2 linked regions of the Callithrix jacchus genome follow. The protein of the gene in region 2 interacts with the protein of the main gene of each other region in a pairwise test. Links are inferred from orthologs where the notes say so. Each region holds a gene or a part of one and is shown on either strand. Other genes may lie near its edges.

Evidence for each region. The genes of interacting proteins can lie anywhere in the genome.
Region 1: the proteins of FAM9B (region 2) and HAPSTR1 interact in binary tests that used the Homo sapiens proteins (3 or more experiments, as listed by UniProt). The link is inferred for Callithrix jacchus from reciprocal best matches to the Homo sapiens genes FAM9B and HAPSTR1.

What each region holds. Positions count from the first base shown.
Region 1 is NC_133513.1:11,321,989-11,329,831, forward strand, and holds the start of HAPSTR1 (HUWE1-associated protein modifying stress responses 1), read right to left. Parts: upstream 4,426-7,843; 5' UTR 4,027-4,425; coding exon 3,801-4,026; intron 3,140-3,800; coding exon 3,059-3,139; intron 1-3,058. UniProt on the Homo sapiens protein: Acts as a central player within a network of stress response pathways promoting cellular adaptability. The E3 ligase HUWE1 assists HAPSTR1 in controlling stress signaling and in turn, HUWE1 feeds back to promote the degradation of HAPSTR1.
Region 2 is NC_133524.1:9,241,732-9,248,537, forward strand, and holds part of FAM9B (protein FAM9B), read right to left. Parts: coding exon 6,686-6,806; intron 6,507-6,685; coding exon 6,475-6,506; intron 4,707-6,474; coding exon 4,595-4,706; intron 3,762-4,594; coding exon 3,650-3,761; intron 2,338-3,649; coding exon 2,239-2,337; intron 1-2,238. UniProt on the Homo sapiens protein: May play a role in meiosis.

The DNA of each region.
Region 1 (7,843 bases), on a different chromosome or scaffold from region 2:
CTTACATTTACATTCTCTTCCAAATCTTTCTAGCCACATTCCAAGCAAACCAATGAACTGAATGCTCAACTTTTCAGAAGCCCACTGACAACTAAAAGGGACCCTTCTGCTGGGTTTTTATCTCAATCCTGACCTTGTCAATACTGACCTTCCTAATGAAGGTCAGGATTGAGATAAACACTTAATGAACTTCCTGGTAGTTATTAAGAAGCTAGTAGGAGTGCCAAACTGTCCCCAAGCTGCAAAATAAGCCACTTTTACCTTGCCAGATTAAGTGTTTAATTATACAAAATGCAGGAATGCTGCCTGCTACCCACTTAGAAGTATCTGCCAAATTCCCCCCCCAAATTTATATTCAAGTATTTAATCAGAACTATTCTCATTTAAATTTAGTACTACTTACTGCTGACTGCACTTGTGACACTACCTTGCTAATTTTATTGGTTCTATTTAAGGGAACCAATTATTCCTACAGCTGTATGCCTCTTCTCTAAAGACCACACCCTGAAAAGAAGAAAAAGTGTGAGGCTATCCAGAGTATTAACCACACACTCCTTGAATCAAATAAAATGATACTACACTATTGAATTCCACAAGACACAACTTAGCATTTGTTAGGCAAGAAGGGATGTGTTTTCATTGTACAGAAACAAGATACAAAATCAAACTAATGCAGACTAACAATCTAGTATTTACAATAATCCAAGAATCGTGATATTTAAAATAAAATTCATGTTTGTCAAGTTTTCTGAGCAGGAAAACTAGAAACTGTAACCATTTTTAAATAAAGTAATCAAATTAAAGATTATTTCAGGGTTCAACTGCTGAACCCACCTTCTTACAAAAAAAGTTAGCACTAAAGAAACTGCTAATGGGCCGGGCGCGGTGGCTCACACCTGTAATCCCAACACTTTGGGAGGCTGGGGCAGGTGGATCCCGCGGTCAAGAGACTGAGACCATCCTGGCCAACGTGGTGAAACCCCAGCTAGCTTCGACTGAAAGGGACACAATCTCCAAGCACACAACGGCACCAAATCCAGAGGACACTCACATTTGTACACGGCCTAGGCTAAGAGCTTGGTATATAAAAACAGTAAAAATGTGTTGCCTTCCCCTTCAAGCAAAAAACAACTACTAACAAGAGCAAAACAATAAACAGTGGTACCCCCACACCACAGTAATACTCGCCAATCAAAAGGCAATGAACTATGCACATCTGCAATGCAAACTCGATGGGTAAATCTTATCATAGTAACTGGAAGAAGCCAGACACAAAAGGCTACGAGGACTAGACGGTTCTATTTAGGAAATAATGGAGAAGAAAAAAACAGCAATCAAATCAGTGACTGTTAGGGCTGGAGTGGAGGTGACAGATTTAATCTACTTGTTAGTTAAAAAAAAAAATCAAAGTATACATCCAAAAAGGGTGATTTTACTGTATGTAAACTACACGCCAAGAAACCTTATATTTTTAAATAAAGTATTATTTCAAAATTCCCTTTTTGGACAAAACCAAGAGCCATTCTAAAGAGAATGTTCAAGACCCTCAAGCACGGATGGATGATGCTGAAACAGTTTACTCATTCATAATTTAAGAAACAGCTATAGAGAAATCAAACTTAACCACTGGGCACTATTTAACCATGTTGCCCTTTTTTCAGTATGGTTGGACTACTACTTTAATAGTTCCTCATTCCCTCAAGTAAGTGTTCCTTTTCACCACTTTGTAACCAGTTCTCAAATTACTGTCCCAAAAAAGTGTAGTCTTCTCAAAAAAAATCTCACCGTAAGAGCTATTTTTCCTACAGAATGCTGTGGCCATTTGCACATTCTTATGCAAAAACAGTAACTTGAGAGTCAAGAAGCAGCTTCATAGCCTGTTCCAATCTATACTGGTATTTTTTAAAAGCACAAAAGTCCTTTACTGTTCTGAGCAGCTCTTAAAATGTAGCCTATTCCAACCTACATTGATATTTTTAAAATGCACAAAATTCCATTACTGTTCTGAGCAGCTCTTAAAAAGTCTGAAAGCATTTTAATTTAATCACATTTTTCTTAATATTAACAAAGTCAAACCTTTTTCCTAAAAAACCTTGCCATTACTCGGATCACCTGAGGTCGGGAGTTCAAGACCAGACTGACCAATATGGTGAAACCCCGTCTTTAAGAAAAACAAAAACAAAAAAAACAACCTTGCCATTCCTGCTGAGCAGTCTAGGAAAGAAAACAACAACAAACAAACAAACAAACAAAAAACCTTGCCAAAAAATTCAACCCCAAATTTCCCAATCTAATCAGTAAGGCACAAAATGTAAACCCACCGTTACCATGAGAGCACAAAGGCCAAGAAGGTTTACCAACACATCTTCATGTCATCACAAAGCGGGGAATTAACTCCAGAAAGGCACCCTCATAAAACACAAACCGATGGACAAAACTCTCATCAAAGCTCCTGCCGGCAACTTATACCCAAATATAGGATCGTTTTGACAGAAAACACTTGATGGAATTGCTAGAGAAAAGCACTCATGCACGTCCAATTAGCAAGCTTTCAAGCACTTCAACGCCATCAGACTGCCACACTCTCAAATGCCTAACTCAAGAATCTTCTCTATAAAGTTCGCCCCATCTCCAACTGTGGTACAAAAAACATCAACTCTTCTCTCAGTCTTTTCCAGAGGGAAGAAAGGCTTCAAGTTCAAGGCCTCTCAACCCGGGCACTACTGACTTTACGGGTAGCACAATTCTTCGCTGAGGCGGTAGTGGGGGGCTTGGGCACTGCAGGACCTTTAGCAGCCTCTATCTACTGGGTGCCAACAGCAGTCCCCTCTCGGAGAAGACAACCAAAAATGTCCCCAGGCGTTGCCATCTGTGGGGGGGGGGGAGGTGTCAAAATCGCCTCCGGATCTAGCTAGAGCACCGCCGGGATTCTCAAGTTGCAACGTATTCAAGATTAGCAGCTGGGTTGGGGAGCAGAAAACACACTTGGAACGCAGGGCAGACACCCTGACGCAGGCGGCCCTTCCCTGAATCGGCAATGCAGCAAGGTTATCTTTACCTTTGTAGAGGTTGGTGACGGCGGTGGCTGCGTTTTGGAAGGGGACCCAGAGAGAAAGTCCTGGCTGCTGACACACTCGGTCTGAAAAGCAAGCCCAAAAAAAAAAAAGAAAGAAAGAAAGAAAAAAACACACACATAGAAAGAGAAAGAAACAGAAAAAGAATGTTATTTGGGCGTCAATCATTCCAAAACGGCCATATTAGGTTTCGCCATTTTGTTCAAGGGTTTCGGGATCCCAAACCCAGTGGAAAAACGGAGGGTAGGGGCGATCGAGGCGGAGAGAAAGGGAAGCCGTAGGGCTCAGGGGCGCAGATCAGGGACGATCGGCGGCGCAGGGAGGCGCCCCCCCTCGGAGTCCCCGCCCCGAGGCCGGCTCGGGGCACAATGGGGCCGCCCCGCCGTCTCCCTTCGCCATTTTGTGACCGGGGGCTCCTCCCCTCCCCCTGCCGGGCCGAGGGGAACACCCGGCGGCCGGACCCGGAGAGCGGGGTCCTAGGACGGCACCAAAGCGGGACTCCCCCGACGCCGGCCCCGGCCTGCCCCCGGCCGCGCCTGCCCCCCAACCCTGGACCTCCCTCCCGCGGCGCCATCTTTCGAGGAGGGGGCGACTGGGCCGCGGCGCCACCGGCCAGGATCCCTGAGGCCGCCGCCGTCGCAGCCCCCAGAAGCGGCCGCTGAGCCTACAAGGCCCGGCCCAGGTGGGGGCGGCCAGGCGGCACCAAGATGGCGGCGGCGGCCTCACCTTTGTAGAGCTGAGCGACGGCGGTGGCCGAGTTCTGGAAGAGGTGCCACAGCTTCTGCTGCTTGTGTTCGGGCTGCGCGGCGGCCGCTGCCTCCTCCTGCAGCTCGGGTGGCAGCTGCTCGTCCTGCTCGGCCTCGGCCAGGCACTGCCGCTCCCACTTGGAGAACCAGTGCTCGGGCCCGTGCTCTTGGATCTCGGCCTCGCCCTCCTCCTTCCGCTCCTCCATCCTCCGCGGCCTCCCGCGGCCTCTCCGCCGCCGCCGCCGCGTCCTTCTCAGGTGGGGCCCCCGCGGGAGCGTCGTCGTCGAACGGCCCGGCGACAGGGCCTGGCGGCCGACAGCGCCTTCTCCTTGCACCGACCCAGGCCTCCAGTACCCCGACGGCCGGCTAGCCCCGCCCCGCTGCCCAGCGCAACCAGGGACGACCCCCGCCCCAGGCCTTCCCACCCCCGGGCCCGACCGAAGGTCGCCCCGGACCAGATGACCGCTGCCGCCCCTCGCCTCGCCCTCCGGAGCCGATCTAACGCTCCCTCATGGCGCAGCGGCCTCCCCAATGCCGCTGCCGCTGACCGCCGAGCCCTCCACGCAGTCCAGCCTGCGCCGCCGAGCCCACCCCAAAGACTGAACGACGTCGTCGCCGCCGCCGCCGCCAACGACGCCTCTGCGGCTGCTGGTCCCCGCCCTCCCCCGCCCACAAGCTATCTTGAGAAGCGCCGCCCACTGGGCCTGAGCTCCCCAGCCTGGTTGGGGCGCGGCCGTTCCAAGGGCCCCTATTGGTCGGATGTGACCGGTTCCGCGTGCCGGCTTCTGAAAACAGCGTCGTGATTGCTTGGTTTCTCGTACTGTCTGCCTGAAGTAACCAATGGGCTGGGGGAAGGGAGTAAATGTCAGGAAGGATGAAGAGGGAGGGGGAAGAGCTAGCAGTGGTGGCATCCGAGCCAAGTTGGGGGCGGGGTGGGGGGTGGGGTTGTGGAATCGAGAGCATGCGCATGCGCACTTGCTCGCTACCCGCGAGCTCTGGGCAGACCAGTGAGGATCACGTGACAAAACCCATCAACCGCACCCCACGGGAGCTTTTCCGGCGTTTACAGGCCCTGGGGTATGCGAAATCAAGTGCGGCAGCTGTGCCGTGGACTTGGAGAGGTGTGGTGGGTGGCTGCGTGCTTACTCCAGCACCTGGGACTCCCAAAGGGAGGAGGGAAGTAGAGAAAGTGAATAAAACCCCCAACTCCGAGTTTGCAAAGAGTTTTTCTATTCTTTTGAGTACCCCAACTCTTTATTTTGAGACGGCGGTCTCGCTACATTGTCAAGGCTGGTCTGGACTCCTGGCCTCAAGCGATCCTCTCGCCTCGGCCTCCCAAGGCGCTGGGATTTAGAGGCTTGAGCCATCGCGCCCGGCACAGAGTCTCATTTCTTAAATGGGCAAATCGAGTGTCAGAGCCAAAGAAAGGCTTACGAATTGGGAAGTCGGCTCAGCGGCCCCTGCGCCCTGACCCCCCCCTCCCGGGACATTGCGCTTTGGGTGGACATGACCTCGACGACCACCTTGCCGCCCGCAGAGCCGAGGATAACCCGACGGGCGAGGCTGCGGAGGGCCCGCACACATCTTCGTCTTCGCGCTCCCGGTGGCCCCCGCACCTGTCCCGAAAAGCACACTCCCTGGCCACGTGCACGCCCGGCGTCACGCACCAGCCCCTGCCTCCCCCTGCCGGAACCCGCGGGGCGGCGGCTACCCCGCAGGGCGGGATCTCTGGGCGCCCCTGCGGCTGCGCGCCCCCTTCCCCTGCTGGAGCTTCCCCGGGATCTGGCGCCCGGGAGAAGGCAGCCACGCAGGCAGGTGGTGACCGCACAGAGGCAAAACCCACCATCCCGACCTACACTCCCACGGCTGGCACCAGCTGGCCTGGAGCCGCGGAGGGGGCCGGCCAGGGGCAGCGTCGTTTCAAATCAGCAAGGCAGATTTGAAAATCTCCCCCACCCCACCGTGGCCTGCAAACTCCGTGGCTCTGGCGCCTCTCACACAAAACCTTAGCCGGCTCATGCCCTGCCCCCCAACCTGACACACACACACACACACACACACACACACACACACTTGCCTTATTTCTCTGGGACACCAGGCTCTTTCCTGCCCCGGTCTGCTCTCTGGAAACTTTTCCTCCTCTTTCCTCAGATAGCTCCCGTTTAGGAAGCCTACTAGGACAAGCCTAAAGTAGCACCCACCACACTCTTTCCTATTGTTTGGTAATATTTTTTAATAGCATCAGTCACTATCTAAAATGCTATATTAGGCCGGGCGCGGTGGCTAAAAACATAGTTCCAATTGCAGGGAAGAATATAAAGTGAAAAGCAAACAAAAGTCATTCTACCTACCTCATTCTACATCCTCCCAATCCTATTCCCAAGAAATAATTTGTTACCTTTCAAAATGGAGTTACGTGTACGTCAAGTGTGTATGTATGTGTGTACCTCTATATGGGTATGTCCCTTTTTAAGGAAAAAAAGGTGATTTTATGTATACTGTCCTACAAACCTTTTTCCCTTAACATAATTTGGATGTCTCCACATTGGGACCTAAAGGCTTATTTATTTTTAAAATATTGCAAAGAATTTTATTGTATGGATTCCCTACAAAGTATTTAACAGGGACCCTATTAATACAGATTTAAGTTATGACCAATCTTTGGCTATTATAAGCAATGCCGTAATGAACATCTTATACATACATACTGCAGTGAACAGCCTTGCATGTATACATATGTGTATGCAAACATATATCCTCAGAAATAGTATTTTAGAGTCACAAAGTATATGAGTTAAATATTTTATGAGGCTAGGTGTGGTGGCTCACACCTATAATCTCAGTAATTTGGGAGGCCAAGGCAAGGGGATTGCTTGAACTCAAGAATTCAAGACCAGCCTGGGCAGCGTGGTGAAACCCTGTATCTACTAAAAAATACAAAACTTAGCTAGGCATGGTGGTACGCACCTGTAGTTCCAGCTACTCAGTAGGCTGAGGTGGGAGGATCACTTGAGCCCAGAAGGCGTAGGTTGCAGTGAGCTGAGATCGTGCCACTGCACTCCAGCCTGGGTGACAGAGTGAGACCCCATCTTGATCAGTCAGTCAATAAAACTACCTGCTGAAGTGTAGGACCAATGGTTGTTGATATGTCAATTTCTACATTTCTGCATTCTGCAGTAGCAGGTGAGAAGTCCAGGCCTGTCCATGTAGGTATGACAAAGGAAAGAACAACACAACTGGATCATTTTGCTGCCTCCAGGCCCTGTTTCAAAAGCCACACACCGCTTTGGACAGTCCAGCCTGGGTTTCAAGTTTTTAAAAAATTAAGGCTGCTCTCATTCTCCTTCATGTAATTCAGATACTGTTCCAGAAGCTTCTGACCTTTTCTTGTGACAACATAATATTTCAGCCATAGATAGATACAAAAAGGAATGATACTGAATTGCATAAATGCTGGATCTATAATAAATGTTTGTTAGCAAAGACCCTCTAAAGAAAAAGGAACGAATATTGAAAAGTATCACCTATCTCCTGGATTTCCATGACTCTGAGCTTTATTTTAACCTCTAAGAGTTTCTTTTTATTGTTGTTTTGAGACAAAGTTTCACTCTGTCTCCCAGGCTGGAGTGCCTTGGCAGGATCTCAGCTCACTGCAACCTCCACCTCATGTGTTCAAGCCATTCTGCCTCAGCCTCCTGAGTAGCTGAGACCAGAGGTGTGCACCGCCATACCCAGATAAGTTTTTGTATTTTCTGTAGAGACAGTTTTGCAATGTTGTCCAGGTTGATCTCCAATTCCTGGGTCAAGCAATCTTCCCACCTCAGCCTCCCGGGTAACTGGGACTACAGGCACATGCTACCATGCCTGGCTAATTGTTGTATTTTTTTTTCTATTTATTTATTTATTTTTTGAGACAGGGTTTCACCATGGTCTGGATCTCTTGACCTCATGATCCGCCTGCCTCGGCCTCCAAAAGTGCTGGGGTTACAGGCGTGAGCCACCGCGCCCGGCCCTAATTGTGTT
Region 2 (6,806 bases):
AGGTCCAACAGTCATGTGCTTTGCTTGAATAAAATGGGTTGAAGAACTTCTTAAGGTCAAGATGAAGTAAAGCCAGAAAAAGACTGGCAGTCTTGTATCATGAAATATTATATTTTTTGAGCAGGTAGTGACCCATGTATTATCAGCAATAGTCTATGTAACATGGTTTCCATTGAAGGGATAAAATGGTTGGTGATATGATCTTAACAAGTTAGAGAAAATGTAACTATTTTTGAAGAATATTCTCTCTGCTCAAACATAGTTCAATAGTCCCTGCCCCCTAAAATGTTGTATGTTAATGCTGAGGAAGAAGTAAAAAAATAAATAAATAAATACAGGATCTCTTCCATATTCCTGTGATATGAGCAAATGCACAAATTTAAAAAAAAAAGTAATACAACAATTGTGTAACTGCTGTGGAAGGGCAATTCACTCAAACATGTAGCCAAAGATGGAGACCGATGTGGACTTAGTTGGCAAAAGGTTTCAATTGGTCAAAGAAAAAAGAAAAAAAATTTAAAGCATTGTGAGGGAAGAGCATGAGAAAAGCATGGGAGTAACAGTGAGTTCCTTCAGGGAAGACCGTCAACCTGCAGAGGCGGGAGCAAAGACACAGGGCAGCAAAACAAGCCTAAGATGGGGTCATGTAAAGGGGAGAGTCTCCGAATATCTAAGAACTGAGACATGGGTAGCACTGACAGGCAGGGAAGAGGGAAGGGCTAGGAAGCATTTTGGGAAGGGAAGGGTTTTAGGAAGATAGTATTGGGGATCAATGAAGGATGGCTCAGAATAGAAGAGAGAACTCATAAAAGAGTTTAATAGTACGAGCAAGGCTGAAACAGGAGAATCGTTTGAACCAGGGAGGTGGAGATTGCTGTGAGCCAAGATCGCGCCATTGCACTCCAGCCTGGGCAACAAGAGTGAAAGTCCATCTCAAAATAAATAATTAAATTAAATAGTATGAGAAAGGAAGAATGAGGCTTTGAACTAGTGCAGCCTCAGTGGGAATTTAAAGAAAGACATTTAAGGACCATTGCAGAGGTGAAACTTGCCTGGTGATAACTGGATGGGAAGGATAACGGACTCAGAAGAGTCCAAGATGATAGCAAAGTTCCTACCCTAAGTGGTAACATGCAGCATTAATGTTGACAGGAAAACTTCTAGTTTCATGTTCATACCAATTAATAAATGGTTTCTGGGGAACACTGTAGCAACAAGTTCTCTACTTGTGACTTCTATTTAAATAACTTTGTATAGATCATCCTCAAGTTGCTCGAAAAGGTTATTTTCAAACTATTTTCCCAGTTTATTTAACACATCTCAGTTAGTATGGAAGAGTGACATATGAACATGTATTTTCACAAGGTTATTAAAAAGAATACCTTGCTTCCCTAAAAGTAATTGCATTGTTTCCTAAATTATATACATCTACATGAAGAAGAGGTCATTGTCCAATGACTATTTGCCAATGTGCTGTACGACAGCAGGTAATTCCCAATTCACAATGCGTTAATAATCTGCTGACTTTCCCATTCTGTTATACATCTGAACCATCTCTTATGATTGCAAATTGTCATGTAAAACCATTACTAGTCAATGATAATTTTGTAAGTGAATATGCAGTAAAACACCAGTGTATTACAGCAGGAAACAAAAGAGACACTTAGTAGTTACACTTGCCTACTTCCTATTTATCTAAAACTGTTGAAACAACACAAGTATAAAAGACATCCAGAAATGATTTATGGACTTCCTGCCTTTCACCATAGATTCGCTGCTGATGTCCTGAAAACTGAAAATAAAATCTTCATTAAAACCCATTTCTGCCTAGTGTTCCATTGTTGGAATTCTAAGCTTGTGGGAATCATGTATATCCTACTGTTCAAAGGTCATAGCAGGGTCTGATTTTTTCACACACAAAAAAATTTTGCAACCTCCTGCATAAATAGGTTAATGTGTTAGTAAAGTATCAATTATATACATAAGATGCACATTTCTAGGTAAAATTTCCAATTTACCTTTTCCTATTCTAAATAACTCCCACAAAACTATTCATGAATCCTAAAAACACATTTACCAATTATGTTAAATCTGGAACAATACATTCAAAGTGAAAATGGTGAGTAATTTAAAATGTATAACTAAAATGTCTTTCCATACATTCAGAAAGAAGCAGACTGTCTTCTATTATGCACGTGTTGTATTTTATAATCTATTATGTTACCAAATAGAACAAACCTTTACAAATTCCTCACGTAGCAGCTTCATTGTTCTCAGCCTCTCTCTCCTCAGACTTCTATGTCGGTACCACCTCTTCTGTTGTTCTTGAAATATTTTCTAGAATTACAAAACAAAATAGTGATAAAAATTGGGCAAATTTTAATACTTGCAAAACAATTCTGCATTAACTTTAAAGGAATACTCTTTAAATCAATATTTCTGAACACTTTCTTTTAGACAACATTTAGGACGAATTTTAAACAATTGTGTTCACCAATCACATGCTAAAATGATGTAATAACCTTTTTTATCTGTCATTGAGTAAAAAATTTTCTTTCTTATACATATTCAACACATGTCCTAATTCTTGATTTCAAATGAAGAATATTTGATGAACCTTCCTATAATTTATTGACCATAGATAGTTAAGATCTATACAGAAATTAAGAAACATTCTTTCTAAGATTTTAAACATGTATTAAATTTTGGTCATTTCAATATGCACATAGATGAACCATCCAATAATGACTGCCTTTCTAAACCTTGACCTAGTCTCCAACTACAGTGTTCTTCTCTCCTCTACGTGACACTCACTCACACAGTCATCCCCCTAGATTTTGTCATTACCAATGACTTCAACACCTACATATTATTAATAATAGCAACGATGAAGAGCAACGATGGGTCAGATCACATCCTGAAAAATTTAAATAAACCTGTTACATAGAAACCCTTTAATCCTCCAAACAACTCTTAGGTAGGTACTCTTACCATGTCTCCTTTAGTAGATAAGGAAACTGAAGCACAGAGATAAATAATTTGCCCATGATTTCCGAGCTAGCAATAGTCAAACTGGAGTCGGATCCCAAGCAGTGTGGCTGCAGACTCTCAGCCCTTGACCACCAAATTCAGCTATTTCTCCATCTTCCCAACATACAGCCACTACCTCCCTGCCATTGTGGGTCACTCACTTCAGTAATACAGTTCAAAAGTCTGTTGGGACCTGACACCCACTGAGTGGAGTACTTTTCACTGACCATTGCCCACCCCCATGTGCTCAGGCAACTCAGTCCCAGCTGAAATTCCACAGCCAGTCATCACAACCTCATCCCTGTATCTATGCCCTGCCCAACTCTCCCTAGATCAACATGCTCAGCTACACTCCAACCCAGGAAATTCCAACCCTACAGGAGCTCTTACACAAATATGCCAATTGGGCTGGCTTTAACTTCTTAATTGCTATGACACTGACCTCAGTTGGACCCCTAACGCTGCATGGCAATTAAATTCCCCTAGTCCATGAGTCCACTAATGGGTCCCCCTCTCTGGGCTCATGCTCTCTTCCTTCTTTGCTGGATGTCTGCATGAATTAATACTACCTGAGACATTGATACAATAGGTTAATCATAAATCTAAGCCTGATACCAACAATTAGTTCTTCTTCTTCTTTCTCTTCTTCTTCTTCATCTTTCTGCTCGTATATGATGAATTCATCAAGGACATTCAGCAACTTCAGAGAATGTTTATAATCACGTTTATGCCTGTAACACATAGTAAGTAACATGGTCATATGTCATAAAGAGATGAAAAATTAATCCTATTCAAACCAAAACTGACTTGACATAATTTATACTGTAAAGTAGCAAGGGAGTAATAGCAGCTGAAATCTTGTTTGGGGGGAAAGGTGAAATGAGTTATTCTTATTATGAAGGGATTCCTTCCTAACTGACTACTAGAGCAGCTGTCTTACATTCTTTATGTGCCAAAGACAAAGGAGGGTTTACTGCACTATAAATCTCTCAGAAATAATCATTTTCTCTAAGAGCAGTTTACTTTCATTTCCTCTTACTGAACAACATATGGGTTCTCATAAGTCGGTTCAAGAATATCACAGCCATTCATCCTGTAAGATTTCCCAAAAGAAATACTTCACTTAACTACATCTCTACTTTGGCACAATGATTTTGTAAAATAAATAGTGAAAACAATTTAACTAAAATAGATAACTTATTTATAACAAGTTTATCCCTCTCTACATAATTGAGTATCGTTAAGGATCTGCAGACTAAACATTGAGGACATTTATCTTTTATTCAACTTCCATACTTCTATAAATGGATAAAAATTAATTTTACAGGCAAACTCTTTTTATCTAGAAAGCAAAAAGAGGTCATCTTCATTGGCTTCTAGGTAATATCTTTCAATTCTGTTAAACCGAGGTTATAGAACTAAAGAAACTTACTTAGGGAGCAGTCAAGTAAAATATGTTGTTCACTAGAGACGAAAATATGTACAGGATAATTTTTGAAATTATTTGCACCAACGAATACAAAGAAATAATATAAATATCATTATGCAAAAAAAGCCAACATACTTTTTAAGTTGTTTTTTCCTCAAAGCACGTTTACTTTTCTTTGCTTTGTGGCGAGCCTCTGTATCCATTTCAATCCTTCTTCTTTTTGCAGCAAGATCCTCGCTAATGCCAGCTAGTTAGTAAATGAAAATGCACTAAAAGTTAATGTTGACAATTAGTTTATTTGCATATATTGACATCAATATCGGACAATATGGTTCAGCAATATCAGAAGGATATTTAAAATATATAAAGCAAAGATCATTTCAAAAAGCAAGATTTACTCACTTATTTTCTGTAAAATCTTTCAGGTGTTAATATTACTATTGCAATTCCAATTGGTATAACTGCAAATCACTTAATTGACAGATGATGAAAAAGCAAGTAATTAAAAGTTTCTATTGTTTAAGTGTGCAGAAAAGTTTATAAGCATAGACTTTAATTTCTACATTTATAAAATGTCCTACAATTCAAGGGACATGGTTCCATGAAATACTATCAAAACTCATTATGTAAAGCACACAAAAAAGTATCTTATTTAATAAGACCATCAAAAGGGTAGAAATAAGTTAATATGCAATAAGAAAAGTATTTTTAAGCAATCTACTGATTTATGCTATTAACTGTATTTTAATAAAAGAAGCAAAAAGAAGCAACATCCATGGGTATAAAAATGTAGGTTTATATAAAGAAATACATTCAGAAACACTTTTGAAATACTTTCTTGGAGTTTTTATATGATATTTTTATCCATAGTGCTGTGTTTCAGAAAACTGTAATACTGCAAGGAATGCTTTCCTAAACACGATTTTGCATAAGAGATCTACCATCAAGTACTAAGAATAGTTTTCAGCAATCATAAAAGATCTGCACCATAATACAAATATTTTTCAAATACAGTATCAATCTATAACACACTCAATGTATTAGGCAACTCACAAAACCAGCACTTTGTCACCACCAAGCGAGCAAAGCTTTCCAAATATTCTGCTTATGTGTATTATCGCTATAGAAAAGCTGAAAACTGAATTGAGCTTTTTAAAAATAAGAGTATTGTCTCCATCATCTCTACAGAAATTTTCTCAAACTTTTTTGAAAATACGGTCCTATAACAGTCAGTGCAACTAACATGTAACATGCCTATACAAAATGTATGAGTTTTTGGATCCAATGACATGTTTCCCACTGGGTAGAAAAGTTGTCTTTCCTTTTCTACTACACAGTTTATTGCTGGAATAATAATAGAAAATCATTTTCGAGAATTCAATTTTTTTAAACAAAATCAGAAAGCTGTGACAATAGAATAGCTGAATTAGAAAGATGAAAAACTCCTATTAAACACTCTGAGTACATAGGGACAGGAAGAGGAGAACAACAGACACCTGGGCCTACTTGAGGGTGGCAGGCAGGAGGAGAGTGAGGATGAAAACCACCCAGCAGGTACTATGCTTATAATCCTGGGTGACAAAATAATCTGTACACCAAACCCCTGTGACACGCAATGTATCTAACAAACCTGTACATGTACCCTCAAACCTAAAGTAAAAGATTGAAAAAAAAACTGATATATGACTTAATCTGTGTACACTGAAAGGATTGAATAGAGCTGTTTCTCCTCCAATGTCCTCTAATATCCCCCAACAATTAACTTTCCATGTGTATGAAAGAAAAGCCATCCCTCTCGATTCACCATTGTTAGAAGCATTCTTACATTACACATTAATGATCACAAAGGTAAGAAAAATTTATCAAACAGATTATGGTAAATACTTAAGTTAAATGCTACATATGAGAAGAAGGCATGTAAGACAGTCTGTCATCCACTAATTCACATAACCTACTGTAACAGTTGTACCGTTGAAAACAATTTTCATAAACTACAGATACTTCCTAAGGCATACCTGCAATATCTTCTGGCTTGTTGGTATCAACCCTATAAAAAAAAAAGTTACATCAAAATTTTAACATAGGACTACACAAAATGTCGTGTTTGTTGGGAAAAAATGTCTTATGTGAAATGTTCTGCATAGACTAGAACGGTGATGACATGATCCAAAGCTGACTTTTCCTAAAAGGCTCTATCCGACAGACAACAGTGACTTCACACTTTACCCCTCATATTCATCTGTTTCATCAAGAGGTTCTCTTTCCCCCTGCTCAGCAGTTACATCTTCCTCCTTTGTTTCTGTAAAAGGGTTTCTTTCCTCACGTTCATCAATTACTGGATCCTTTC